Linked DNA regions of Callithrix jacchus. The protein of the gene in region 1 interacts with the protein of each later gene in a pairwise test. Links are inferred from orthologs where the notes say so. Each region holds a gene or a part of one and is shown on either strand. Other genes may lie near its edges. The genes, in order: KXD1, LRRC45, MAP1LC3A, EXOC7, CCDC185, C3H4orf46 and MOB1A.

Region 1 (4,188 bases):
CTCTACTAAAAATACAAAAATTAGCTGGGTGTGCTGGCAGGCGCCTGTAATCCCAGCTGCTCAGGAGGCTGAGGCAGGAAAATCACCTGAACCCAGGAGGTGGAGGTTGCAGTGAGCCGAGACCACACCATTGCACTCCAGCTGGGGCAACAGAGATTCCATTCCCCCCAAAAATAAAGGGTTTCAGAGCTCACTTAACCTACTCTCCTATTTATTCAAGCTCATACATACTAACTGCTATCCTTATTTATAGATGAGAAAATGGAGGATCAGGGACACTAAAGAACTGGGACACTGTCACAATCCCAGCAGTGAACCTAAGTCACAACAAATGTCCACAGCCCAGAGGTCTCACAAATGTGTGGATCTTAACAGATGCACAATATCTAGCAGTGACAGGACAGTGGCTTCTTACAGCAGCTGATTTCTGTATGACCTCTGAAGGATTTTTTTTTTCTAGGAAATTGACTCATTGACAAATGTTAGCAATGAATACTTTTTCCCAAAATATCATGGAGGCCAAGGGTATCTCTTTGTGATCTGAATCTGGCTGGCCAGTGGTTTGCAGCACCTTCTAGAAATACAATGCCACACCCAGTGAAACCCCCCTCCAATAATTACTATGGTTATTGAACTCCTGTGACATGCCAGGCAGAGACACCCACAGTCCCCACATTCCCAAAGAAGCATGCTCTTGTATAAAGAGGATACCTGGACTGGGTGCTCACGCCTGTAATCCCAGCACTTTGGGAGGCTGAAGCTGGCAGAGCACCTGAGGTCAGGAGTTTAAGACCAGCCTGGCCAACATGGTAAAACTCCCGTCTCTACTAAAAATACAAAAATTAGCCAGGTATGATGGCAGGCACCTATAGTCCCAGCAACTCAGGAGGCTGAGGCAGGAGAATTGCTTGAACTCTGGAAACAGAGATTGTAGTGAGCTGAGATCAAGTCACTGCATTCCAGCCTGGGCAACAAAGGGAGACTCCATCTCAATTAAAAAAAAAAAAAAGCTGGGTGCGGTGGCTCACGCCTGTAATCCCAGCACTTTGGGAGGCCGAGGCGGGTGGATCACAAGGTCAAGAGATCGAGACCATCCTGGTTAACATGGTGAAACCCCATCTCTACTAAAAAGTACAAAAAATTAGCTGCGCATGGTGGCGCGTGCCTGTACTCCCAGTTACTCAGGAGGCTGAGGCAGAAGAATTGCCTGAACCCAGGAGGCAGAGGTTGTGGTGAGCCAAGATCACGCCATTGCACTCCAGCCTGGGTAACAAGAGCGAAATTCCGTCTCAAAAAAAAAAAAAAGGTGGGGCGCAGTAGCTCACGCCTGTAATCCCAGCACTTTGGGAGGCCGGATCATGAGGTCAAGAGATTGACTTCAGATCACGGATTGATCCAAGGTCAAGAGATTGATCACGGATCACTTTGGGAGGCGGGTGGATCACAAGGTCAAGAGATTGAGACCATCCTGGCCAACATGGTGAAACCCAGTCTCTACTAAAAATATAAAAATTAGCTAGGCATGGTGGCGTGTACCTGTAGTCCCAGCTACTCGGGAGGCTGAGGCAGGAGAATTGCTTGAACCTGAGAGGCGGAGGTTGCAGTGAGCCAAGATCATGCCACTGCACTCCAGCCTGACACCTGGCGACAGGGCAAAACTCTGTCTCAAAAAAAAAAAAAAAAAAAAAAGACACCTGGAAAGGAAGGAAGCCCGTAGCTAGTGGCAGTGGGACACAGTTACTGGGACCTTCTGGGATACACCCCTACTTCAAAACAGAAATCTTTCCTGTCTCTGACTCCCAGATGTGAGGGCTGATTTATGGCACCTCCCTCTTGTTCCCCCTGCAGTTTCCTCTCCCAAGAAGCCTTCCCTGATTACTGCTAGTCTGGCCCACCTAGTGAAATTGACCAAGCAAGGGCTCTGATCCCAACTCCAAATGTGGATTTATTGAAGAAACGTAGGCTGTTTAACCTTAGGAGAGCCACTTCACCCTTCTGAATCAGTTTTTTCAACCATAAAATGGGAAAAGGGTGGAATGAAGATCTCACAGTGCTGTCTGTGAGAATTGAAACCAACGGTGATAACGAGTGGAGCTCAGAACGGGCTGTTTTTCCAAGAGGAGTGTGAAGGAGTACCGGGACAGGGCCCAGGAGTCAACATTTAGAGAGCATCCCAAGGGCTTCTAAGAATATATTATGGACAGACACTTGTAGAGCACTTCATTTAATCCTCAATCACCGTTATGAGGCAGACGCAATCACCTACGAGGGAAACTGAGGCTCACAAGAGTGGGCGCAGTTGCCAAAACTCACACGGAGAGGCAGAGCAGGACAACGGTTCTATCCAGATTATTTAACATAATTTAACTCCGCCATCCAAGCTCTGAAAAACCCCAAGTGGGGAGGAGCTCAGATATCCCCTCACGCCCCGTCACCTACAATGCGGGGAAACTGAGGCACAAGCCGGGCAACGCCCAGCTCCAGGTTACACGGCACACCCAGAACACAGGCGGCCCCACTTCCTATTTCTATACACCTGATCCGGATCCAGATCCAGCCCGCGGCGCCGCAGGTGTATCCATTGCGCAGACGGGGAAACTGAGGCCTGTGCGCAGCAGGAGTGACCAGATGTGGCCAGCGGCGCACCCCACCCCACCGCAGCCCGGGGGCCGCGCCCGACCCGGCCCGGTTCCCCGCGGCCCTGAAGTCCCCAGCCCCACCCCAAACTCGGCCCCGGCGTCGGTAGCGGCGGCACCTGCACATCTGGCGGCCTCGCTCGCGCTTCCGGGATGGCGCCCGCGCCGGCGCAACGTCACCACGCACCGATCGTGCGAGCGCGCGTGGCGGCGACGTATCCTGGAACCCCTTGCGTGCTTGGAGTCACGACAGGAAAGGGCGGAGCTTAGACGCAGCTTCAGCTCGCGGGTGGTCACAATGAATAGCCAATCAAGCAGTTCGGCTTGCGCCTGCGTATTTTCCGAAACCCCGGGTTCAGAGCAGCCTGGCAGAGGGAACGCTCAAAGAAGAGTTCCATCTTATAGATGGTGTGACTGAGGGCCCAGAGCGGCAACAGTCCCCAAGATCGTAAATGCTCCAGTGGTCTGTGGCCAAACCAGACCCGCGTGTCCTGCTTTCCAGGCAGGGAATCAGCAGAGCTGAGGTGGTGCCGGTGCTACGGCACCTCAGCCTAAGAGACAAGAGCGAAACTCCATAAGAAAAAGGATTTCCGGCCGGGCGCGGTGGCTCGCGCTTGTAATCCCAGCACTTTGGGAGGCCGAGGCGGTCAGATCACCTGAGGTTGGGAGTTCAAGACCAGCCTGACTGACATGGAGAAACCCCGCCTCTAAAAAACTAAAAGAAAAAAAGGAAAAGGATTTCCATTTGCATTTAGTCATGTCTCCTTAGTCTCTTACCCAATCCACCATTTGTGTCAGGTTCTCCACGTCTTTCATGATCTTAATGATTTTTGTTTGTTCGTTTGGTTTGTTTGTTTTTAAGATGAAGTTTCAGCCGGGCGCGGTGGCTCACGCCTATAATCCCAGCACTTTGGGAGGCCGAGGCGGGTGGATCATGAGGTCAAGAGATCGAGACCATCCTGGTCAACATGGTGAAACCCCGTCTCTACTAAAAATACAAAAATTAGCTGGGCATGGTGGCGTGTGCCTGTAATCCCAGCTACTCGGGAGGCTGAGGCAGGAAAACTGCCTGAACCCAGGAGGCGGAGGTTGCGGTGAGCCGAGATCGCGCCATTGCACTCCAGTCTGGGTAACAACAGCGAAACTCCGTCTCAAAATAAATAAATAAATAATTTTAAAAATAACAATAAAAAATAGGATCTCGCCGGTGCCATGGCTCACGCCTCTAATGCCAGCATTTTGGTAGGCCCAGTCTGGCGGATCACGAGGTCAGGAGTTCAAGACCAGTCTGACCAACATAATGAAACCCTGTCTCTACTAAAAATACAAAAATTATTTGTATTTTTTGTATTTTTAGTAAAGACAGGGTTTCATTATGATGTGGTGGTGTGCGCCTGTAATCCCAGGTACTTGGGAGGCTGAGGCAGGAGAATCTCGTGAACCTGTGAGGTTCACGAGAACCTCACAAGAGCGAAACTCCGTCTCAAAACAAAAAAGAAAAAAATAAAATGGGCCCGTGGCCCCATCTATGGTCCCAGCTGCTCAGGAGGCT
Region 2 (4,248 bases), on another chromosome or scaffold:
CCCAACCCTGTACTGAGCCCCTGGTGTCCTTGGGTGATAAAGAAGGGGCTAATAAAGAATTCCCCCTGCCCCTACAGGGTTGAAGTAGGACCCTGAGGATGGGTTCACAAGGGCCTGAGACCCTCCCCTTTCCAGGCCACAGAGGTCCACGAGGCCCTGATGACATTGAGGAAGCTCAGTGCCCCAACCTTCAGGTACAGTAATAGAACGAAGGGCTCAGAAACCACTCTGCCTGCACAGAGGGGGGTCCTCTGCACGTGACAGCCCCAGAGAGCCCCACTCACCAGGGGCAGGGAAGAGCAGGGCACGCCCTCCAGCCTTGGCGGATCATGGCTCAGACGGCCTGGGTCTGACCCTAGCCCTGCTGAATCACTTAACACACCCGTACCTCGGTTTCCCCACTGGCGGGCGGGGTTAATAGGTGTCCAGTGTGTGTAACGTGGAGCACCGAGGACACCACGCGTTCCGGGGACTTAGCCCAGTGCTGGCGCCCACCGGAGAGTGGGCAAAAGGGGAACTACTGTGCCTGGCGGCTGGGCCAGGTCTGCCGACTCGGGCCTCATTCTTGCCGTCCTGGGGTCTGACCTCCTCTTCACAGGAGAAACCAGGCTCAGGGCTCAGGACGGCGGCCCAGCTCTTCCTCTCTTTTTGCTGGCTTGGACTCCGCCTGGACGGCGCCTACCCCTGCCTATTTCTGCAAACCTTCTCCACCTTCCCGCAGCCCCGGCTGCCCCACGCACCCTTCTACCTGCTGCGAGACTCCCACCCAGGATAGCGCGGGGCGCGCTGGCGGGCCGGGGTAGGAGTCTGAGAACGGGGCCAACATCAAAGGCACAGGTGGGCGGCGCGGGGGCTGGCTTCGGGCCCTCACAGTGTCACACGTGGGATCGGGATGCAGGGTCCACGCCGCCCTAGCCCCTGCCCGCCGACCCTCACCTTCCGGAAACCAGCTCCTGCTCCGACTCCCTCCATGGCCGCCTCCTCGGCGCGCGCCCTAGGGAGCCCCGCTCCGCGCCCCCAGCCAATGAGACCCGAGCGCGCCCCCGGAGCCCCGCCCCTACCTTCAGCCAATGAGCCAGAAGCGCGCCCTCCCGCAGCCCCACCCTCACGCCCCTCAGCCCATGAACCAGGAGCGCGCCCTACCGGGGTACCACCCTCACGTCCCTCGGCCAATTATCCTGGAGCATGCCCTCCCGGAGCCCCACCCTCATGACCCTAGCCAATGAAACTGGAGCGCGCTGCTCCCCTTCGGATTGCTAGCCCAAGAGCGCGCCAGTTCCTTTGTTCTAATTGGCCCCCAACTAGCGCCGCCAGCGCAGCGCCTGCTGGGAGTTGTAGTTCCCGCGGCCGCTCCCGGCGCGCCTGGTTCCTCCTGGATACTGAGGTCCCAAAGCGGCTGTCGCGAGACCGGGGCCGAGGCTGCAAGCGCTGCAGGGCCTGGAGGGGGCGCGCGACGAGCCTGCCTGCTTCCTGTACGGGTGGTCCCCACGCACCGCGGGGCCCCAGCCCAAAGTGGACCTTGACTACCGCCCAGCCCCGCGCTCCCAGGACCTCCCGCCCGCACAGCCCACTCTGATTGCTCTTCGTCCGGGTCAGCGGAGGCCCAGTCTCCTGTACCCGGCGCCGGGGCTGCTCCGCACCAGGCGGCTCCCTTTCAGCAGCTGCGGGAGCATGCGAAGGAGGTCCTGCCGACCCCGCAGGTCATGGAGGAGTTCCGGCGCTGCTACAGCCGCTTGTGCAGGGAGAGTGGGGCCGAGCCCCAGGAGGCTGTCCTGCAGCAGCTGCACCAGCTTCCCAGGGGCCGGCTGGACCTGGCCACGCAGAGCCTGACAGTGGACACCTGCAGGGCCCTAGGCAAGCTGCTGCCGAGGGAGACGCTGTGTACGGAGCTGGTCCTAAGCGACTGCATGCTCAATGAGGAAGGTGGGCAGGCCCGACAGGGTAGGTCGCTGCTCCTTAGCTGCCCACGCCGTTGCCTTGGCAGCCCCAGAGGCCGCTTCCTCTCCAGGCTCTCCTCTTTCTGTACCGTAGTTAAAGCGAGCAGGACTGGAGGGCAATTCCTCTTTATGACGGGGGAAGAGGCCTTAACCTGCCGCGACTTACCTGGTTCCCTGCGTGCTGACGCGGCTTTGTGCTGCAGGGGCTGCAGGTGTTTCAAACACAGCTTCGCAGCGAGACTCTTGGCCAGCGCCAACCCAGACCACCGGGACAGTTGTCCTTCCCTGGGTCTAGGGAGCTGCCCTCAAAAGGGGCCCACAGGGAAGGTCTTGGGGTCAGCAGGGGCAGAGAGTAATCGCGGCCTCCCTTACACAGGGGCCACACTGCTGCTCCGAGGCCTGTGTGCCAACACCGTGCTGCGCTTTCTGGACCTAAAGGTGAGATACCTGCACTCTGGGTGTCCAAGTGTGCCACCCGAGGGCAAGAGGAGAGTGGGAAGATGCCAGGTCTCGGGGGGCCTGGGGTCTGGACAAGTGGCTGGAAACTGTAAGTGTCCCAGGCCATTCTCCAAAGGCCTCCTATTTGAGTGACTGTCTCTGGAGCAAGAGTTCACATCAGCTACAAGCAAGCCAGCCCCAGGAAGTTCTTGAAGGAAGGGAGGCCACACGTCTGCCCAGGGGGCACCCCAGCCTTGTCCACTGGCTGACCAGGGCCCTTGGGGCATGAGCGGGAATTCAGAACCAGTCAGGGTGAGGGGAGCGACTACCAGCCTGTTTCTGTCCTAGGGCAACAACCTTCGAGCCACCGGGGCTGAGGCTCTGGGAAAACTCCTCCAACAGAACAAATCCATTCAGAGGTGGGTGGTGGTCCTGACCCCACCATCACCCCAGGTCCCCTCTCTATGTGGTTGAGGATTGGCCCTAGAGCACATGGTTCTGCTGCCCAAGAGTTCACAATTGCCAGTTGTCTGCTGTGTTTCACAAACAGCAGTGAGCAGGCAGAGGCTCCAGCCCATCAGACCCCAAGCCAACACCATCCCCAGGCCCTGGACCCCATGGGCTAGGCAGTCCCCTGGGTTAACACTGGCTCCTGTCCTTCCTGCAGCCTTACACTGGAGTGGAACAACTTGGGCACGTGGGATGATGCTTTTGCTACCTTCTGTGGGGGCTTGGCAGCCAATGGCACGCTGCAGAAGCTGGACCTCCGCAACAACCAGATCAGTCACAAGGGCGCCGAGGAGCTGGCCCTGGCCCTGAAGGGCAATGCCACCCTCCAGCAGCTGGGTGAGGCCTCCAGGGTGCCTCGGGCTCCCTCGTCCCTCCAAGACTGCCTGTGCTCTTGGAAGTGAGGGGCTAGGGGACCAGCCAGGCCAGCTCCCCCTCCACCAGGTGCATTCCATCTGGTGACTACAGGTTTCTTTCCAGACCTGCGCTGGAATAACATTGGCCTCCTGGGGGGCCGGGCTCTCATGAACTGTCTCCCCAACAACAGAACCCTGTGGAGGCTAGACCTGGCTGGGAACAACATCCCCGGAGATGTCCTCAGAGCTGTGGGTACGCTGCAGGGCTGTGTGGAACGACACACGAGCCTCTGAGAAAGGCGTGTCCACTGAGGGCGGGGTGCTGGGCCTGGGACCAGAACTGATGATGAGAGCAGCCTGAGAGCCTGCAGAAGCGGAAGGAGCAGAGGGTCTCGGTGCACTTGATCGGCACTCACCACACATGGGCACTGTCCAAGACTCCCTGTGTGCTCCATGAGTTCTTACAACCTATGCAGTGGGGGTACCCATTACATAGCTGCGGAAGCTGAGGCCTTGTGGCTCACAGCCCTGGCCTTGGTGGCAGTGCTGATGCTTCAGGTGGCCCAGGCCTTGGCTAGGGAGGGGCTTCTTGGCATTTGCTCCCTGGTCAACCTGAGTTGTGGCCCTGCATGTTGAGTCCTGTGGGCTGGGGCTGCCTGGTCTGTGTGGCCTCCACATTCCCACCTACCAGCAACCCCACGTCCTTGCGGCTGATGTCTCAGTATCAGGCCTCATACTCCCTCATCCACACACAGTGGCAGCCTCTTCCGGCCCCTGTGCCGAGGGCTCACCCTCCTGCTGGCCCTGCCTGGCCTCTGGCTTGAGCTGCACTGTCCCTGGCGTTGCCTGAGTGTTGGCCTGGCTATTGTCATTGCTCCTGACCTCTGCCACCTCCCCACATGCCATGATCTTTCCAGAACGTGAGCTGAGCACAGTGTCCACCTCAGCATTGTGCAGTGCCCCTTGATCTTTGGGATGGTGGCCAGATGCCCCAGGATGGCCCTTGCCTC
Region 3 (3,395 bases), on another chromosome or scaffold:
ATTATTTCAGCTGCCGCACTCAGTGGCTCACGCCTGTAATCCAGCACTTTGGGAGGCGGAGACGGATGGATCACGAGGTCAGGAGATCAAAACTATCCTGGGCAACGTGGTGAAACCCCGTCTCTACTAAAAATACAAAATTAGCTGGGTGTGGTGTCACGTACCTGTAGTCCTAGCTACTCAGGAGGCTGAGGCAGGAGAAATCGCTTGAACCCGGGAAGTGGAGGTTGCAGTGAGCTGAGATTGCGCCAGTGCACTCCAGCCTGGGCGACAGAACGACTCAGTCCCACCCCCCAAAAATAATTTCAGCAACAGTCTTTCGTGTAAGCTCTTTGTCACCACCTATCTTTACTTCTTAACTCTTAAATCATGGATCAACACCTCGTTGACAGCATTTTTCCTGTCAACGAGGTGTAAAGCGTTACATTTTACTGTAGCCTTCTACGTTTGCTGCTGAGAAGTTTGTTATTGGTGTAATTTTTAAAATCCATCATCCTTGGTCGCTTTTAAAATCGCATAGTCTTTGGAGTTCTGCAGATTCACTAGCGTCCAGATGTTCATCTCCGGTGTTTGCATTCCACCCGATTTTAAGAATCACTTCTGGCAGCTCTCCTTCAGGAACTGCCTCTGCAGGGAGCTCTGCCCCGGCCTGTGAGATCTCCCGGCATTGCCATCCGTGGCTTTTTCCTTTTTATTCTCCATCACCTGTCTCTCTGGTGAGCTGCTTCCGATCAGCCTCCAGGTCCGCGCACTCTTTTCTGCTGTCCTACACCTCATCCTCCGAGACCTGAATTTCCATGGCTCTACTTGTCAATTCTAGAATTCCTTTGCAAACCTGGGCCTTCTTTTGTGATGTCTTGCTTGATCCTGTGCCTCCTGCACCTTCTCCCGTCTCTCGTCCTGAGCCCCTAGAAGGCGCCGGCTGTTTCCCACGGTGCCCAGAATCGCGCCAGGCCTGGCACAGACTCGGTGAGGGCGCGGGGAGCGGTGCCGCGGGGCTGCAGCCTGGCCCGCCCATTCCCTCAGCCCTTGGCAGCCCCGCCGCCCTCCAGGCCTCACCTGAGTTCCGCGCCGGGAGAGACTCCTGGGCCGGCCATGACGTCACAGGACTGTGACGCGCCCAGGAGCCCCGCCCCTCGCGTCCCGAGCCGGGGACCCAGGGGCTCTGCGCCGTGACGTCATGAGCCCGGGCGGGCAGGTTGTGCGTCGGCCCAATGGGAGCAGTGCGCCGGCCTCCCCTTTAAGGAATGTTGTGACCTGACGTCACCGGGCGAGTTACCTCCCGCAGCCGCCGCCGCCGCGCTCAGCGCGAGCCCCGGAGCCCTTCAGCGTGAGGCACGGAGCCCCCGGAGCCCCCAAACCGCAGCCACATCCCCACGTCCCAGAGCCCCGGCCTGCGCGCCCAACCGGGCCCGCGCGATGCCCTCAGACCGGCCTTTCAAGCAGCGGCGGAGCTTCGGTGAGGCCCCGCGGGCAAGCTGTGAGCTCGGAGCAGGGGTACGCGGGGGCCCGGCCGACCCCGACTACCGCGGGTGACGTCAGTCCTGTGACGTCAGGCCCCAGCCGGACCCTCGGGATGGGAGGCTGACTCCAGCCTGGGCGGAGGCCGCCCACCTCCCCACCATGATAGGTGCTAGGGGCTGTGGGGCCTGCCGGCCCCGGGGGCGGGGGCTGGAGCTGGGGCGGGGCCGGGGGCCGCCCCTTGGGGACAGGCGGGGCGGAGACACGGGGAGGACCTGGGCCCGGCTCAGCCCGGCCTCAAGGTCCGGCCGCCATCCGCAGCCGACCGCTGTAAGGAGGTACAGCAGATCCGCGACCAGCACCCCAGCAAGATCCCGGTGAGTCCGGTGCCCCCAGCCCTGCCCCGCCCTGGCCGCGCCTCGCGCGCCCCCGACACGAACCCCTGCCCGCCTGCCCCGCTCCCAGGTGATCATCGAGCGCTACAAGGGTGAGAAGCAGCTGCCCGTCCTGGACAAGACCAAGTTCCTGGTCCCGGACCATGTCAACATGAGCGAGTTGGTCAAGATCATCCGGTGCGTGGGCAGCCGCCGCCAGGAGGCAGCTTGGGTCTGGCGGGGAGCCGGGTTCCCGCCGAGAGGAGGTGGGAGTGGGGTCAGTAGTGATGGGACCAGGCGGTGGGCCCCTGTTCTGGCGCGGCTGGAAAGGTCAAGGTCGGGGCTGCAGTTGGAGTCGGGTCAGAGGTGAGAGCTGGGGTGAGGATGGATGTGAAAGGCTGGGAATCATTCTGGGGGTCAGGGCTGTGCCTGCCCTGCAGCCACGTCCCTCACAGCCGCACACCCTCCCGCCTGCCTCAGGCGCCGCCTGCAGCTGAACCCCACTCAGGCCTTCTTCCTGCTGGTGAGCCAGCACAGCATGGTGAGCGTGTCCACGCCCATCGCGGACATCTACGAGCAGGAGAAAGACGAGGACGGCTTCCTCTACATGGTCTACGCCTCCCAGGAAACCTTCGGCTTCTGAGCCAGCAGTAGGGGGGTCGGCCTGGGAGTGGGGGGAAGCCCGGTCAGGCCCTGCCCAGAGAACCCCTGGTTCCTGAACTGAGCTGCCTCTGCTTGGGGGTGGGCTGGGCAGGGATGTGGCCCCGTAGTCAGAGGGCACCAACCCACCTCCTCTGCCCCTAAGTGGTTTTGTTAGGGTTGCCCCTCTGGGTGCTGGCTGGGATGGGGGAAGGTGGGAAGCATCCCCCCACACTCCTGCTGTGTGGTTCATCTTTTTTTTTAGGCCCCTGCCTGCCCCTCACCCACCCGAGGCTCTGCCCACTACCTGGACCTGCCCACCCCTGAAAGACTGGCCCCCCCACCCCTCCATCTCCACATGGTGTATGGATCTGTGGTCATTGTCCCTCTGCAGAATAAAGATTGCTCAGGCCTGCCTGGCCCTATGCCTCCAGCTGCTTGCTTGGGAGTGGGGAGGGTGCTGGTGGGGCTGTCCGAACCGTCCCTGGGCTCTGACATACCAGAAACACACACCTGTGTGTACTTTCCAGAACATTAGGGGCCACCCCCAGGAGTGCAATGCAGATATGGGCCCAGGGTAGGTTTCGTAACAAAAAACATTTATTAAGTAGCCACAACCTAACAAGCCCTGCTCACCTGCCTTTTCCAGAGCTCCCAGTTCCTCCCCAGAGGTCTTGCAGTCAGCCATGGGTCCCTTTTGATACCAGAGACTTGTGACCCTGGACTTGAACCTCTTCTGCCCAAGGACTCGCCTGCTGGCAACTCTGGCTGGAGGGCCTGGCCCAGTTTCCCGCCCCTGAGGTCCATGCAGCCCTGTGCCAGCCAGGCCTACTTGAGCACAAGCATGGCCTCCGTGCCGTCCTTGGCCGTCAAATAGAGGCCGTGTGTGAGGTAGTACTCCCGCCGCAGGAAGGCATAGAA
Region 4 (3,500 bases), on another chromosome or scaffold:
CTGGATGTTAACTTTATGTTTTTTACTTTTTTTAAAAAAAGTACCATTCAAAACTTACAACTAGGGCTGGGCAAGGTGGCTCATGCCTGTAATCCCAGCACTTTAGGAGGCTGAGGTGGGTGGATCATTTGAGGTCAGGAGTTCAAGTTGAGCCTAGTCAACATGGTGAAACCCCATCTCTACTAAAAAATACAAAAATAGCCAGGTGGTAGTGGCATGTGCCTACAATCCCAGCTACTCAAGAGGCTGAGGCAGGAGAATTGCTTGAGCCTGGGAGGTAGAGGTTGTAGTGTGCCGAGATCACACCACTGCACTTAGTCTGGGCAATAGAGTAAGACCCTGTCTCAAAAACAAAACAAAAAAAAACCTTACAACTAATTATCAGTTCTATTAAAGGGTATTTTTCTCTTTTGAGACTTTGCCTGGCTGGATGCAGTGTCTCATACCTGTAATCCCAGCACTCTAGGAGGCTGAAGTGGGCAGATTGCTTGAGCCCAGGAGGTGGAGCCTGCAGTGAGCCATGATGGTGCTACTGCACTCCAGCCTGGGCAATAGAGAAAGACCCTGTCTCAAAAAAAAAAACTTTGAAAGACGGCCTGATTTGGGACAAGATGTGGGTGGCTTGTGACCCAGAATGGAGAGCAGATGCTAGGAAGGGTTGACAGGTAGATATGGCAGGTCTGCAAGGAAGGGCAGGGCCTGGCAACCACACCTCTATCGCTCTGTGTCTCCTTAGATTTCATGAACGTCTACTACCAGATACGCTCCAGCCAGCTGGACCGCTCCATCAAGGGCCTGAAGGAGCATTTCCATAAGAGCAGTTCTTCCTCTGGGGTTCCCTACTCCCCTGCTATCCCCAACAAGAGGAAAGACACACCTACCAAGAAGCCAGTCAAGCGGCCAGGTGAGCCCCCATCTGCCACACCCAGAGGCTGACTGGGGCCTGCACTGCTTTTGTCCAGTCTAGCATTCGCAGCATCAGATTCCTCCAGAATTTGTTGTCATGGTAACCCCGACTATAGGTACACAGGACAGAAAGCAAGTGTCTTCCCACCCAGTGAGGCCCCCCAAGAGTGAGGCTCTTCCTTCCAGCTGGCAGAGCCTGGGGGTTACACAGCTTCTTTGTAGTGGGGGGCTTACAGGTCCTCAGTTAATCCCATCTGAGACAGGCTGCAGAGGCCTCCAGGGCAGAGCCCCTGCCTGGACCCCCTCCCTCACACACACATCGTCCTGTCAGGAGGCCTGGCACACTGCTGCAGCCAGAAAGGATGCTGGGATAGCAAGGGGACAGGCGCTCTAACCTTCACCTTCCAGAAAAGCAGGGTGACCTGAAGTGACGTTTAGCTGAGAGCTGGATGGGGAGAATTTCACTTTCCCGGTCAATCCAGAAAGGAAAGAAACCCCAGAGCATCCTCTCAGAAGAACTTAAACTGGCTTTGGGCTCCAGTGTGAGTCAGGCCTTGTGGAAAGGGGCACCACGATGAGAGGCCTGGGCAGAGCTGTCGCTGTCCTGGGTGAACATCTCATCATCTCTCTGTTCTTTCTCACTGGCATCATGTCTCTTGTAGTCTGTGCTCCAGGTAAATAGCGTCTCTGTGAGCCACAGCTTGGCAAGCCTGGTCTTGCCACTGAGAGATGCTTCCTGCAGCTTGAGGAGATGCTGGGAAGTTCCAGTGGGGACTTGGTTATTCGGTGGGACTGAGATTGCTCTGGGAGAGAAAGCCAGAGATGCTGGGGCTGCTCCCACCCAGGCTGGCCCCCTGCCCAGCTGCTGCTGCAGGCACCTGCCCTAGTTGCTGTGGGACTTGCTTCTTGTGACAACAGGCTTTGGGTAGAGCTTACTTACACCCTCGGTTTCTCCGGTTCCTACCTGCCCCACCCCTCAGAGAGCACCTGCTCCCCTGCAGGCCTTTGTTTAGGGTTTGGAGAAACGGGCAGAACAGGGGCTGCTCTCAGAGGCACAAGTGAGTAGAGCATTAGGGAGCTGGGGCCTGGGGCCTTCTCCCTCCAGTGTGGATATCCTGCCCACCTAGACAAAACCTGCTGCCAACAGGGACTGCCAGTCCAGCCTTTGGGCTCAGCTGGCCGAATGGCGGCCAGGGCATTTCTGTGTCTTCTGTGTGGCGTGGGGCAGCTGTCTCCATAAGGCTGCGAGGGTGCTTGGGCCCCAGCTAGTCTGCACTGGCTTCCTCTTCTGCCTGGTTCTGTGACTGGCCCCTGGGAGGCCCCAGAGCCCTATATGCACTGCCCTAAGAGTGCCCGCTGGCCATGCAGCAGGGATCTGATCTCAGGGAGCTCACAGTGGATGACATCGATCCTTGCCCCAGAGACACAAGAGGAAACCTCTCCGGCTGTGGGGGTCTGTGGGGTTTCAAGAGTTGTCAGGAACTGGTGGGCTCAGGACTAATGTCAGGCTCTAGGGAATCAAGCCCCAGGGACTTCTAAGGAAAGGGGCAGGGGTGCCTCCCAGGTAAAGCACCAACCTCGGCATCCCTGGAGGTAATTGGGTGCCTGATGGGTTTGGTGCCTACCAGATCCACATACTGACCCACATCCTCCCCGGTGTGCATCTGCCTCTGCTCCTGGTGGGTTGTGGGACAGGATTCAGATTCACTCTTTAGTGAGCCGTGCTTGCTGAAGGGGAGAGAATGAGCAAGGCAGATGTGAGCCAGGCCATGGGACTTGGTTATTAGGAGCTAATTGTGAGCCGGGTATGGTGGCTCATGCCTGTAATCCCAATACTTTGGGAGGCTGAGGCAGGCGGATCACCTGAGGTCAGGAGTTCGAGACCAGCCTGGCCAACATGGTGAAACTCCATCTCTATTAAAAATAGAAAAAAAAAATGAGCCGGGCATGGTGGCACATGCCTGTAATTCCAGCTACTCAGGAGGCTGAGGCAGGAGAATAGTTTGAACCCGGGAGGCAGAGGTTGCAGTGAGCTGAGATCGAGCCACTGCACTCCAGCCTGGGTGACAGGACGAGACTCTGTCTCAGAAAAAGAAAAAAAAGAGTTAATTGTGGTGTGATGTGGTGTGGCGCGGTGCGGTGCAGGTGCAAGCAATGAGCCTCCACACACTGCCCCTTCCTCCCTCAGCTTTCTGAGGAGCTGCCAGGACGCAGCATCCTCACTGTGCTCAGATAGGCAATGGGGGGGCGGGGGCGTCTTGGGTGCCTTTCTTCTCCCATACATTTTGTTAACAAGGCAGCTGCACTGGTCTGTTTGAGACGGGAGTTGATTTCTCCACGTCTTTGGCCCTGAGATGTCTCATTCCCACAGAGGAGGCTGACCCAGGCAGCTGTGGGCACTGCCGTTTTTGTTCTGATTGTTTTCACGTGTGATATTAACTTTTGTTTTTTTCCCCCATGCCAAGAGCATGTACCTTCTCCTTCCAAGTGCACCCTCCAGGCTCTCTGTGTGGTGGCTTCTGTTAACCCTTCTTGGCTTTCGGATTTTTTCCTGTGTCTTTGGTGGTTTGGGGAACTCTGGTGTGTGGGCTAGG
Region 5 (4,213 bases), on another chromosome or scaffold:
TCTCTCTATGTTGCCCAGGCTGATCTAAGCGATCCTCCTGCCTTGCCTTCCCAACATGCTGGGATTATGGGCATGAGCCACCACCCAGCCCAAGTCTTAAAACTTTTAACTGATGCTTAGCATGGCACCAAAATAGTATTTATTGAATGTATTCTGGTGCCAACCTCTGGATGCACAATTTCACCTGAGCTTCACAACAGTCCTGTAATGCTGGTATCATCAGGCCCCTCTTCCCACTCCACCTTGCTGGAACTGGAGGTGGGGAAGCTTAGGGAATTTGCCCAATAAAGTGAAGAGTGGTGGAGGAAATTCAAATTCATTTTCTCTACCAAATCCAGTGCTTTTCCCATTAGCCAAGGGTGCCTCAACAAGAAACAAGAATCCCACAAAACTGGAGGAAAAGGGCAAAAAATAATGTGATTTCAGCATGGTGTTCATTGATGCTATTGCAAAAATGTGCATGTGGCATTCATATTTTGACTATAGCAGTAATTACCACATTAGGGAATAGAGTCATCTCCTTCCTGTTCTAAAAATCTTAAAATATAAACATTAAAGCATACTTTGGGCTTGCTAACTTAAAACGGCAAAAGGGTGGTGTCGCTTTGTGTGTGTGTGTGTGTGTGTGTGTGTGTGTGTGTGGCCCTCGGCCCACTGCAACCTCCATCTCCCGGGTTCAAGTGATTCCCCTACCTCCGGCTTCGAAGTAGCTGGGACTACAGGCACCTGCCGCCACGCCTGGCTAATTTTTGTATTTTTAGTAGAGACAGAGTTTCGCCATATTGGCCAAGCTGGCCTCGAACTCCTGACCTTGTGATCCACCTGCCTTGGCCTCCCAAAATGCTGGGATTACAGGTGTGAGCCACCGTGCCCGGCCTGGTGTCGGGTATTAATATGCGTCCAAGCCTTTCTATTTGAGCACACTGCAGAGGTACACACATGGCGGACGGTGATTCTGCAGCTAAGGGTACCTCCTCCCTGAAACTGTGCCTCGGCCTTTCTACCCACCCCTTCCATTCTGAGGGTGACGCCTTCACCTGGGCTGTCTTAAAATCCTGCTATTTTTGTGCAAATGCGAGTTCAAACTTCTGCCTCAAACACTGGTGGGGGGACACTATGCACCTGCAGCTTTAAATGTCACCCTGATTTCCTACAGACCCCCTCCTCCAATCTGCAACCCCTCTCTCCCCCACCCCACCCCCACCCCCACCCCCATCCTCAGCCTCCTGTCCTTCCCATTCTAGGTTGCTAGCAAGGCTGGGGTGGGCGGCACCGGGCCAAGGCTGAGGACTGCGGGGACCCAGCTACCAAGCGCATTGTGAAGTGGCTGGAACGTCACAGGCGACCTAGACCTCGGGACCGGGGGGCGGGGCCGGTGTCTGCAGCGTCCTATGAAGGTCTCAGGCCCCTTGCGCAGACGCTGCGCGTGCCCAGAGGGAGGATGGCAGGCTTCGGTCACTCCTCCCCGCGGCTCTACCTGGACCTCTGGGAACCCCCACGGCCGGGCGAAGAGCAAGAGACCAAGCAGCGGCTGGGCAGGCAGAGGTCCAGAGCCGGCCCTGCCGCTTGCTCCCGGGCCGGGACTCTGGGTGCGGAGAGCGAGGATGGGGGGCCCTGGCTGCACCCGCACTGTTCGTTCACCCCACGCCCTCGCAGACGCGAGTGCCCAGACTCACCACGGGGCAGCCGAAGCCTGAGCGACGTGACCTGCAGGCCACTGGACCGAGCCAGGAAGCACGGGCCTCGCAGCAGGCGCCTGGAAGATGCCTGGGGAGAGGCAGGAACCAAGCCCCGCCAGGCCTGGCAGCCGCAAACCCAGCTGCTAGGCCAACGACAGCAGCCCTGCCCGCATTACCCTCTGGCCCAGGGAGACTCGCCCCCGCCTTACCCCGGAGAAGCTGGTACTCCCCTGAGTGGCACATTCAGGATAGAAAAGGCACAGGGTGGAGACCAGTGGGCAGTGCCGCTCAGCAGACGTCTAGGTCGCTGGTCCCCTTCCTTAGTTCTCTCAGAGCGGTCTTCTGTGCCCTCCCAAAAGTTCAGGCCACACTCGGCCTGCATGTGCACACAGAAGAGAGACAGCAGCGACCAGGTTGAGTCATTAGCCAGCCAGGACTTCCAGCCCTCGGCCTCCAGCAAAGAGAGGCGGAGCCCGCACACCCAGGTGTTGAAGAACAAGCTGGAAGAAGCAGTGATGTCCTCCCAGGACCAGCGGATTGTGGCCCTGGTGCTGATCCGGCTCAAGAAGGCCCAACGGATGCGGGAGCTGCAGCAGCAGGCGGCTGAGGCCTGGGAGGAGCTGAAGCGTTCAGATCAGAAAGTCCAGATGACCCTGGAGCAGGAGCGCCAGCAGCTGCTGCAGCAGAGCCAGGAACAGTGGCAGCAGGAAAAGGAGCAGCGCAAGACCCTCCCGGGACATGAGCAGCGCGGCCAGCGGCGGGACAGCCAGGGGAAGAACGTGCCCCCTGGGGAAAGCTGGTGGAAGGAGCAACCGGAGGACCAGGAGAACCTGTGCCAGGAGAAGCTGGAGAAGGCGCGCGCCCAGGCAGAGCACCAAAAGCAGTGCCAGGTGCGGTGCCTGCGGGAGCAGGAGAGGATGCCGCGGAACATGAGGGAGCAGCACAGCCTGCAGCTGCAGAGGAGGCTGGTGGAGACCTGTCGCAAGAGGCACCTGCATGCCGCAGAGGGCCAGAAGAAGGTCCAGGACACCAACCTGAGCTCCCTCATCAATTACCAGGCCCGGAAGGTCCTCATGGACTGCCAGGCAAAGGCCGAGGAGCTCCTTAGGCAGCTGTCCCTGGAGCAAGGTTTCCAGAGGTCCCAAGAGATACACCAGGGCCTGATGAAGGAGCGGCACCGTGAGATGAGAGAGAAGGCCCAGAAGGAGGAGGAGCAGTTGCAGCAGGCCAAGTGGCGCGCGGGGGAGTCCGGGGAGCAGAGGAAGATGCACAAAAGGATTCTGGTGGAGCTGGCAGATGAGAAGATCCGGCAGGCCAGGAGTCATGTGCACAAGACCGCCAGGGACAAGGTGCAGCGCCTCCGGGAGCTCAACCACCTGCGTGAGAAGAACCACCACATCCTGAAACTGAAAGCCGAGAAGGAGGAAAAGTGCCACATTGAGGGCATCAAGGAAGCCATTAAGAAAAAGGAGCAGAGGGTGCGGCACATTACCCCAGGGAAAGACTCAAACTTACAGGAGTTCCGGAAGCTCCCGCAGGCCTCCAGGAGAGAGAACAGAGGAGCAAGGAGCAACAGCTCCCTTGATCAGATAGAACTAGAGGCCCGCTCCCTGCCTGTCGGCAGAATGGGCGCCACTGAGAGCCAAGGACGCCAGGCTTAGAGGGAGCAGCCAGAAGGAGATGTGGCAATGTGATTCCTTTTATAATCTGATTACAATTGAACATTGATTTTTAAAAAGCATATAAAATTGCTGCAATTTCCTCTCATGAACTGGTTTATTGATTCACTTGGATAGTTTAGAGGGTTGGGGAGAAAATTTTGGGAATTTTTATGAAAATAATGTGGCTTTGTGAATTTTGATTTGAATAGAAAATACTCACTTAGCTCTCGAGTAATCTTAGAAACACATAATGGGCACATTTTGGAGATACCAGAGAAAAATCTCTAGTCAGGGATACAGTTCTGTGGTATGTCTTAAGTCTCTTCCAGTCCCAGAACTTATGGAAGGGTAAAGTATAAAGTACCTGTCATATGAAATCTCCAAGATAAAAAGAAAGTTTAAAAAGTGAGAAGTGGGAGGATTCCTGTGAACAAGCAGATTTGGGAGCCCTGCATACTGTGTCCTCTCTTGGGAGTTCATAATGCAATTTAAAATGTTAACGGCTCTGAAAAAGCATCAGTAAAGAAACGGATTTGTTTAATGTAGTGTTTTTCACAAATTATAGAGCGCCCCCCCCCTTTATTTTCTCAGATAATTTCATGGAATTGATGTTCTGTGAAACATTTTTGGAAACGGCCCTCTATAGTTTTTACCTGATTGTCAACTTCTCTGGCCTTCCCTCCCTGTGTTAATAGGAAGTGTTTATAACTCCAACAGCTCTATATCTTGACTATTCCACCATAGCTACACCATCTGATATGGTTTGGCAGTGTCCCCACCCAAATCTCATCCTGAGTTGTAGGTCCCATAATTCCCATGTGTTGTGGGAGGGGCCCTGGGAGATAGCTGAATCATGGGGGTGGGGGTTTCCCC
Region 6 (4,100 bases), on another chromosome or scaffold:
TTGAGACGGAGTCTGGCTCTGTCACCCAGGCTGGAGTGCAGTGGTGTGATCTCAGCTCGCTGCAACCTCTACCTCCCGGGTTCACCTGAGTCTCCTGCCTAAGCCTCCTGAGTAGCTGGGATTACAAGCATGCGGCATCACACTCAGCTAAGTTTTGTATTTTTAGTAGAGATGGGGTTTCACTATGTTGGTCAGGCTGGCCTTGAAATCTGGACCTCGGGTGATCCACCGGCCTCGATCTCCCAAAGCGCTGGGATTACAGGCATGAGCCACCGCGACTGGCCTTTATAGTTAATTTTAGACAAGGCAGAAAACTCCTGGCTCCAGATACACTCAGGTGACTTGGTTAACATATGAATGTTAACCATGATGTGACAGATAAGACTTCAATTTCTTTAGACTGAACCAGGATGGCTGCGAAGACGAAAGTCAGGTCAGGACCAAGGATAAAAACTAGGCAAATACAACTTTTTTTCCCCCCCCATTTAAAACAAAGCTTTGAGGATTAGAACCATGATTCGGGAAGCCTTAGTTCAGGAGTCCACCGAGATGTGTGTTTGTTGACCGGTGGTGGTGGGTGGGGTGTGTTGACAAGTTTTCTCCGCCCTTGACCTTTAGCCTAGATATTATTTTTTCCAACTGAGGCAACCCCAGAGAGAAGCAGCCAGGGTCCACCACCCGGCTCACAGAGCGTGACCTTTGCCCCAGATAGCCTCAGAAAGCAGATGAGAGAAGAGGTGAGAGGTGAGAGGTGCCTACAGCCCCCAGGACCGGCCTTGTCGCTTTTGCCCTAATTCCTCCACTTATCCCCACCTTACGTTCCCTCTCACCCGGGCAGGACAGCTTGGCTAGCGGCACCAGCATGTTCAAAGTCACCAGGATTCTCGGTCGGACAGAACAGGAGGAATCTCCGCTGCTCGCGGCGGGCGTTGGACCTCTAGGCCGCGGGGGGCGCCATCACCTGCCGGGAAGCAAGAACTCGACCGCAGTTCGTCTACCCAGCTCTGCCGACAGCTCTTGCTTCGCGGCGTTCCCGCCTCCTTCTCACTCTGCGCCGGCGCCATGCATGACGCGGCGGACAGCCGAGGCTTCCGGGTCATGTACCAAACCAGGGAAATTAGGGACTCCAAGACCCAGCCGGGGCGCGGTGCCAGCCAGAGCGCGGCTAGAGAGGTTCACGAATCCCACAGGACAACGCACGCGCAGTGAAAGACAGTGGAAGGCGGGGCGACGCGCACAGCTTCCTGGGAGGGGTAGTCTTCTGCACGCGCGCCCTTCCAGCCCTACTAGAGGCTCGCGCAGTAGCCTTGAGCTGCCTAAGGTGGATAGATGTCATCTGATTGGCTGTCCCGAAAAATGAAAAGTCTTTGTGATCCAGGGCTGAGACCCGTGAGGAGACGGGGCGGGATTTCGGGCGCTAGGAGGCGGGGCCACTTGGCTTTGGGCGCGAGCGGTTAAAAGACAGTTGGTGTCGGTTCGGGTGCTCGATTGGATTCCGCGGTCTCAGTCCTCCCCCATGGCCGACCCTGTGGAGCTGCAGGTTTCTTCGCCTCCCCCGCCTCCTCCTTCTTCTCCCTCCTCTGCAGACGCCTCTGCAGCATCTTTCCCCGGCGGCCCAGTGAGTTTGAGCTGGCCAGTTCCGAGCGGGAGCAGCGGCCGAAAGGTTGACCCGCTGGAGGAAGTGGAGCTGCAAATCGGAGACGTGAGTGTGTAGTTGGGACTGCGTCCCTCCTCGGCGCCTCTGGGAAGACTGGCGGCGGCTGGGCCCGCGAGGCCAGGGAGTCGGTCCCCCAACCCCACGACCGGGGACGACCGGCCCTTCTGCACCCGAGAGCTTGCGGGCGGGAAGCGGGGAGTGGGAGATGCCAGCAGCTAAACCCTTTCTGAGTGTTCCCCTTTAGATTTAGCGGTGAGGAGTCTTAAGGGTTATCCATCCACCCGCCCCACTTCTAACTGGTCTCTTTTTGTCTCGCCTTCTGGTTTCAATCATCCGCAGTAACCCGAAGCCATGCAGCTCTGCGCCGCCCAGTGCTGGCTTTTTGCCTCCTCCCCTCCCATCAGAGAATAGTTTTCACTGCATGGGTTTGCTTGCTGCCTGCGAGTGTTTAGGTTCAGACTGTGATTTTTTTCCATGGGACTTAGAGCCCGCTGTTCTAGTTGGCCACCTGCCCAGGGACAGATGATAATGCCATTGTCTGCCTCAGGCCTGCTTAGCGGTGGACCCAGCTTGAAGGGTTTAGGTCACGTGGATTGGCTTCATTAAGGGTTTAGTTCAGCACTCCTTCCTTTGTATGATTGCTAGCACTCCTCCCTTTGTAGAATGCATACTTAGTAAGGATAGTTTCTGTTAAATCTCGAGTCCCCAGAAACTAGCACCCCACCTCCCACCCCTAACTCACACAAGATAGGGAGGGGGAGAAGGGAAGTCACAGTTTTATGGTCTCTCGAGTGGGTCAAGTGGAATGAGGTATGTAGGCTGTAACCTTCTGGGAGAGCTCTGTGGCATGACCTTTCTTAAGGATTGGAAACTGCGGGATGACCTCGACTATCTCATTGCTGCGCATGTATTTTTTTAAGGATGACTAAAGTGCATATTCAGCCTTTATTTTTGCAGAACAAACTGATTGTAAGTAAATATGTAGAATTTTCTTATATATTCTTTGAATATTCTACAAAGAAATATGTAGAATGAAGTGCTAATGTGTTATTTAGGAAAAACGTTTTATTTTATATCATCAGCAAAGAAAATATTTGCCTAAAAAGTGAAATTTCCACCAGGAGCTGAGTGTTTTCTGCATTCGTGTGTGATTTCGTTGATGTTGTTTGTCAGAGCTCAGAGTTTCTGTTCTTTGATCTATACATTTTCATTGTTTAAAGCGTTCACAGGTCAATGCCCATGTTACCCACATAGCAGTAAGAATTATTTATGATGAATTCCTTCAGATACTTCTGACACTTAGTGTGAAGGGGTCCAAGTCATCTTGTTGAACTGAGACTAGTGTATTTTCACAGAAAACAACAATACTGACTTGTCATGTCTCATACATAGTGAATATTTTTCTAGCAGACCTGTTTCCTCAAAGCCTACTCAATTTTCAAACTAAAGCATTGGCTCTTTCAGGGAACCTAAGAAATATTGAAGAGCCAATGCTTTAGTTTGAAAATTGATTACTTTTAAAGAAAACAGGGGCATTGGATTCAAGGCCTTAAGCTATTTTGAGACTACTTGTAAAATGAGATGAGAATTTAAAAAATAAACTTGTTTGACTTTTTTTTTTTAATTTTAGGCAGCCTTTTCATTAACCAAACTCCTTGAAGCCACATCTGCAGTATCAGCTCAAGTGGAAGAGCTTGCCTTCAAATGTACAGAAAATGCACGTTTCCTTAAAACATGGCGGGACCTCTTGAAAGAAGGCTATGATTCTTTGAAACCTGATGACTAATTTGACATACTTCGTTGTTTAATAATGACTGTATTACTTCATACTTCTTCATATGTCATATTTGTACATTTACCACATGTATAGGATGACCTCTGTTCAGAAGTTCTGTATGCACTCAGAATGAAATTTTTCTTCGTTTTTGAATGGATGTTCAATCATAACCGTTGATTCCATAACAACTTAAGATAACAAGAGTTCCGTCCATTGGCCCACCCGTGTCTTCCCTCTTGACAGGTCTCTGTGCCACCATTTGTAGCAATGGCAGTGAGAGACTTGCTCCCGGTATTATGTTGGGGTCTTTGAAGCCTGTGATTGTTGGGTTGGTTCTTTTGGTCCAATAATTGGCTACTATGGCCAGGTTGGGAAATGTCCCAGGAGTGAGCTCTAGCATAATAGGATGGTGGAGTGCGCCAGGTAGCCCAAACAGACTCCCCATCTTGTTCTTTGCATTGGTGAGTCTCTTCTCAAACTCCACTATGTCTGTGAGGACGGAGGGGAGTACTGGTGTCCCATCCATACACAGTTCTAGAAAGGTCTGGATAGTAAAAACTGTCGTCATCGGGCTAAACTGTTGTTTAGCAACAAGCTTGACTTGATCTAAGAGCTCCTTTCCTTGAATAGGAGAGCAAATACAAACTCACCAACCCAAGGTTGACT
Region 7 (4,235 bases), on another chromosome or scaffold:
TAGGTAAATCCACAGAAATAGAAAGTAGAGTAGTGATTACCAGGGGTTAGGGGGAGGGAGGTGGGTAAAAAAGAGTGACTGCTGACCGGGCGCGGTGGCTCAAGCCTGTAATCCCAGCACTTTGGGAGGCCGAGGCGGGTGGTTCACGAGGTCAAGAGATCGAGACCATCCTGGTCAACATGGTGAAACCCCGTCTCTACTAAAAACACAAAAAAATTAGCTGGGCGTGGTGGCGCGCGCCTGTAATCCCAGCTACTTGGGAGGCTGAGGCAGGAGAATTGCCTGAACCCAGGAGGCGGAGGTAGCGGCGAGCCGAGATTGTGCCACTGCACTCCAGCCTGGGTAACGAGAGCGAAACTCCGTCTCAAAAAAAAAGAGTTACTGCTAATAGCTATGGGGTTTCTTTTCCCGGTGACGAAAATGTCGTAGAATTATGGTTAGGCTGGGCGCGGTGGCTCATGCCTGTAATCCCAACACTTTCGGAGACTAAGGCGGGTGGATTGTTTGAGGTCAGGGGTTTGAGACCGAGACCAGCCTGGCCAATATGGTGAAACCCCGTCTCTACTTAAAGAAAAAAACAAAACTAGCCAGGTGTGGCAGCGCACCACTGTAATCCCAGCTACTCAGGAGGCTGAGGCACAAGAATCCTTGAATCTGGAAGGCAGAGACTGCAATGAGCCGAGGTTGCACCACTGTACTCCAATCTGGAAGTGGGCTACAAAGTGAGACTCTGTCTTAAAAAAAAAAAAAATTAGTGGTGATGGTTGGCACACTTCGAAAACATAAACGAAGCCAGAGGCAGTGGCTCACATCTGGGATCCCAGTACTTTCGGAGGCCAAACCAGGAGGATCCCTTGAGCTCAGGAGTCCAAGAGCAGCCTGGGCAACACAGTGAGACCCCCATCTCTACGAAACTGAGAAAATTAGCAGAGTGTGGTGGCATGGACCTGCGGGCTCAGCTAGTCGGGAGGCTGAGTCAAGAGGATCACTTAAGCCAGGGAGGTCGAGGCTGCAGTGATTGCGCCACTGCGCTCCAGTCTGGGCGACAGAGCAAGACCTCATCTCAAAAAAAAAAAAAAAAAAAAAAAGAAAAAGACTACTAGAGGGTACATATTTAAAGGGTAAATTTTATGCTATGTGAATATATTTCAAGTAAAAATTAAATTTAAATTTTTAAAAATCGCAGGACTAGACAGCGCTTATAGAGGCCCCTGCACAACCTAGGGAGCGGGGTCGAAACCCAGCAGAATCAAGATACACCAGAGCAGGACAAGGTACTGTCCCTTCCGCAGGACCGCGGCCCTCGCCACGCCTTCGGGGGAGGGAGGTCCTGGCTTGGAGAGCGATGATTGCTGACTTCTAGGAAGAGGCGGAGCGAAAGGGGGCGCGTCAAGTGGTCCTGGCGCAGCGAAGCCTTAGCTCGCGAGATTTTGCTGGTTCCGCATTTCGGGTCTGTGAGGTGGGGTTGGCGGGGGAGGCGGGCGTCGAGGTTTGTAAGGGCTCGCAGCTGCCAGAACTCCGGCTCCCAGCGGCGGCGGCCCGGCTTCCGCTGCCCGTGAGCTAAGGACGGTCCGCTCCCTTTCGCCGGCTCCGAATCCCGATCCGGGCGGGGGCCAGAGGCCCCTTGCCTCCCCTCTGAGGACCGGAGATGAGCTTCCTCTTGTGAGTGGGGCCGGGCCGCGGGCCGAGGTCGTAGGGAAGGCCTCCCCAGACCTGAGGCGAGGGCTGGGCCCGGGGGCCCGGGCGGGGCGGGGTAGCTGGCGTTTGTTTTGCCTCTGTTGGGGCCCGCGCTGGAGGCCGAGATGTTGGGAGAGGCGGACAGAGATGAAGGTCGAGGTAAAGGGAACGGAGCGAGAAAGCTGGGGAGTAGAAAGGCCCTGGGGCCGCCGCGCCTCCAAACTTTTCCGCCCGAGCGCCCCCAAGGGCGGGGTGATGATCTGGGGGCGGAGCCGCGGGCCCCCAGTTTCTTTCGTCTCGAGCCTCTAGAAACGATCCCTGCCGCCTTAGCTCGTCGCTCTGTTAGAGGTCCAGTTTCATTATCGTCGGTGTTAAATTCCGCCCCAGGAGAATGTGCAGTGCGGCGGTTTGAGAGGTTGATGTTAAGATGGGGGCCTTGGAGTCAGATCGTTCTGTCCAATTCTGATTCTGCCCACTTACTGGCTTTGATTTTAACTAACTTCTTTTGTCCTCGGTGGAATCGTGGGTTTTTAATCATTATGTAATACACCGTATTCTTACATAGTACATTGCAATATTATTATAATTTGGAAAGTTAAAATTAAAAAAAAAAATTCATTCTTAGTCCCATTACAGAAACACAGTATTGCCGTTTTAGTGCACTACAGCAGTTAACTTAATACACATACCTTAGAATCTCATTTTAGAGATAATGCCTGAGCCCAAACTAAAAAGTTTGTAAATGGATGATTCTTATGCACATTAAAGGTTGAGAAGCACTGCTCTAGCACAGTATTTTTTATTCTCAGGTGGCTCTCTCCACCTTATATATTGCTTAAATGTGGGTTTTGTGGTTGAATGAATAATTATCCATTTTTAGTTATGGATATAATCCACAAGCTTGACATTTTTAAGTACAATATAAAAAGCACTACATAGTGGTTTTTTTTGGTAACCAGAGTTTGCCCACTTTATTGTAAGAAACCTGGGATTCCTTCCAGTATTTGCTCTTATAAAATAGCACTATTAAGACTATGTTTATCTGCGTCTCATTTTCCTTCCTTTGGGTTATTTTTATAAAAGAATGATCTCTAAAATACGATGACGTTGTCGAAAAGCCTGTATGATTTAGATTTATTTCCATATTAATAGAAGTATTCCCCCCTCCTCCACTTTTTTCTTATGAGTCGATATTTAGTGAATGCATAGTTGCTTTGTGGACCTTAATGTGAGATTTTTTTCTTTTTCTTTTTGACATGGAGTTTCACTCTGTCACGCATGCTCGAGTGCAATGACATGGTATCAGCTCACTGCAAACTCTGCCTCCTGGGTACAAGCAACTCTCCTGCCTCAGCCTCCCGAGTAGCTGGGATTACAGGCACTGGCCACCACACCCGGCTAATTTTTGTATTTTTAGTAGATACGGGGTTTTACCATGTTGACCAGGCTGGTCTAGAACTCCTAACCTCAGGTGATCCACCCCCGCACCCAACAGAGACTTTGTTTATTTAAAACTTGGCCTTCTTCATGGACTCCTGAGTTGTTCCCGATTTTTGGCCATTATGAATAATGCAGCTGTGAACATATGTGACAGGTTTTTGCGTGGATGTATGTGTTCATATCTCTTGGGTATATACCTAGGAGTGAAATTGCCAGGAGTGGTTTACATGGTAACTATGTTTAACCTTTTGAGGAACTGCCAAACTTTGAAAGTGCTGTACCATCTTACATTCCCATAAGCACTGTATGAGGGGTCCAATTTCCCCACACCCTCCATAGCACTTGTTAATTGTCTTTTTTTTATATGGTCACCCTAAGTGGATGTGGAGTGGTATCTCCTGATTTTGATTTGCATTTCCCTAATGACTAATGATGTTGAGCATTTTGTCGTGTGCTTATTGGTTATTTGCATATATTCCTTGGAGTAAAGTCTATTCAGATCCTTTGCCCATTTTTAAATTGGGCTGTTTGTTTTTGAGTAGTAAGAGTTCTTTATACATTCTAGATACAAGTCCTTATATCCTTGATTTTTTTGCAAATACTTTTTTCCTTGTTCAATATAGTTTTTTATCACATTAAAAACTTTCCATATTTGATTTTTAGTGTTTTCACAATTCTCTTTTACTTCTTAATCAGTCTTATTTAAAGTCCAAATTACTGAGGTTAAGTAAAAGTCCATAGTCTATTCCATTCCTCTTCCTAGAACTAATCACCAGTTTTGATGAGTTTAGGTTTTGTTTTTTTTTTTTTTTTTGAGGTGGAGTTTCACTCTTATTACCCAGGCTGAAGTGCAATGGCGGGATCTCGGCTCACTGCAACCTCCGCCTCCTGTGTTCAGGCAATTCTCTTGCCTCAGCCTCCTGAGTAGCTGGGATTACAGGCACACGCCACCATGCCCAGCTAATTTTTTTGTATTTTTAGTAGAGACGGGGTTTCACCATGTTGACCAGGATGGTCTCGATCTCTTGACCTCGGGATCCACCCACCTCGGCCTCCCAAAGTGCTGGGATTACAAGCATGAGTCATCGCACCCGGCGAGTTTAGTTTTTGATACTTTC

Evidence for each region.
Region 2: the proteins of KXD1 (region 1) and LRRC45 interact in binary tests that used the Homo sapiens proteins (3 or more experiments, as listed by UniProt). The two-hybrid records come from large-scale screens. The link is inferred for Callithrix jacchus from reciprocal best matches to the Homo sapiens genes KXD1 and LRRC45.
Region 3: the proteins of KXD1 (region 1) and MAP1LC3A interact in binary tests that used the Homo sapiens proteins (3 or more experiments, as listed by UniProt). The two-hybrid records come from large-scale screens. The link is inferred for Callithrix jacchus from reciprocal best matches to the Homo sapiens genes KXD1 and MAP1LC3A.
Region 4: the proteins of KXD1 (region 1) and EXOC7 interact in binary tests that used the Homo sapiens proteins (3 or more experiments, as listed by UniProt). The two-hybrid records come from large-scale screens. The link is inferred for Callithrix jacchus from reciprocal best matches to the Homo sapiens genes KXD1 and EXOC7.
Region 5: the proteins of KXD1 (region 1) and CCDC185 interact in a two-hybrid assay, tested with the Homo sapiens proteins (2 studies listed by BioGRID and IntAct). The two-hybrid records come from large-scale screens. The link is inferred for Callithrix jacchus from reciprocal best matches to the Homo sapiens genes KXD1 and CCDC185.
Region 6: the proteins of KXD1 (region 1) and C3H4orf46 interact in binary tests that used the Homo sapiens proteins (3 or more experiments, as listed by UniProt). The two-hybrid records come from large-scale screens. The link is inferred for Callithrix jacchus from reciprocal best matches to the Homo sapiens genes KXD1 and C4orf46.
Region 7: the proteins of KXD1 (region 1) and MOB1A interact in binary tests that used the Homo sapiens proteins (3 or more experiments, as listed by UniProt). The two-hybrid records come from large-scale screens. The link is inferred for Callithrix jacchus from reciprocal best matches to the Homo sapiens genes KXD1 and MOB1A.

What each region holds. Positions count from the first base shown.
Region 1 is NC_133523.1:17,269,793-17,273,980, reverse strand, and holds the start of KXD1 (kxDL motif-containing protein 1), read right to left. Parts: upstream 2,801-4,188; 5' UTR 2,537-2,800; intron 1-2,536.
Region 2 is NC_133506.1:137,627,136-137,631,383, forward strand, and holds the start of LRRC45 (leucine-rich repeat-containing protein 45), read left to right. Parts: upstream 1-1,448; 5' UTR 1,449-1,703; coding exon 1,704-1,941; intron 1,942-2,313; coding exon 2,314-2,375; intron 2,376-2,723; coding exon 2,724-2,794; intron 2,795-3,042; coding exon 3,043-3,221; intron 3,222-3,362; coding exon 3,363-3,491; intron 3,492-4,248. UniProt on the Homo sapiens protein: Component of the proteinaceous fiber-like linker between two centrioles, required for centrosome cohesion.
Region 3 is NC_133506.1:4,744,815-4,748,209, reverse strand, and holds MAP1LC3A (microtubule-associated protein 1 light chain 3 alpha), read left to right. Parts: upstream 1-1,272; 5' UTR 1,273-1,419; coding exon 1,420-1,459; intron 1,460-1,554; exon of another isoform or gene 1,555-1,623; coding exon of another isoform or gene 1,624-1,630; intron 1,631-1,782; coding exon 1,783-1,838; intron 1,839-1,926; coding exon 1,927-2,033; intron 2,034-2,315; coding exon 2,316-2,478; 3' UTR 2,479-2,895; downstream 2,896-3,395. Other genes in the region: GPI-anchor transamidase component PIGU, read right to left, coding at 3,303-3,395. UniProt on the Homo sapiens protein: Ubiquitin-like modifier involved in formation of autophagosomal vacuoles (autophagosomes). While LC3s are involved in elongation of the phagophore membrane, the GABARAP/GATE-16 subfamily is essential for a later stage in autophagosome maturation.
Region 4 is NC_133506.1:131,998,421-132,001,920, reverse strand, and holds part of EXOC7 (exocyst complex component 7), read left to right. Parts: intron 1-736; coding exon 737-904; intron 905-3,500. UniProt on the Homo sapiens protein: Component of the exocyst complex involved in the docking of exocytic vesicles with fusion sites on the plasma membrane.
Region 5 is NC_133520.1:5,346,495-5,350,707, reverse strand, and holds the start of CCDC185 (coiled-coil domain-containing protein 185), read left to right. Parts: upstream 1-1,413; 5' UTR 1,414-1,441; coding exon 1,442-3,340; 3' UTR 3,341-4,213.
Region 6 is NC_133504.1:37,670,846-37,674,945, forward strand, and holds the start of C3H4orf46 (renal cancer differentiation gene 1 protein), read left to right. Parts: upstream 1-1,300; 5' UTR 1,301-1,516; coding exon 1,517-1,702; intron 1,703-3,287; coding exon 3,288-3,443; 3' UTR 3,444-4,100. Other genes in the region: ETFDH (electron transfer flavoprotein-ubiquinone oxidoreductase, mitochondrial), read right to left, coding at 831-864.
Region 7 is NC_133515.1:39,015,391-39,019,625, forward strand, and holds the start of MOB1A (MOB kinase activator 1A), read left to right. Parts: upstream 1-1,435; 5' UTR 1,436-1,648; coding exon 1,649-1,662; intron 1,663-4,235. UniProt on the Homo sapiens protein: Activator of LATS1/2 in the Hippo signaling pathway which plays a pivotal role in organ size control and tumor suppression by restricting proliferation and promoting apoptosis.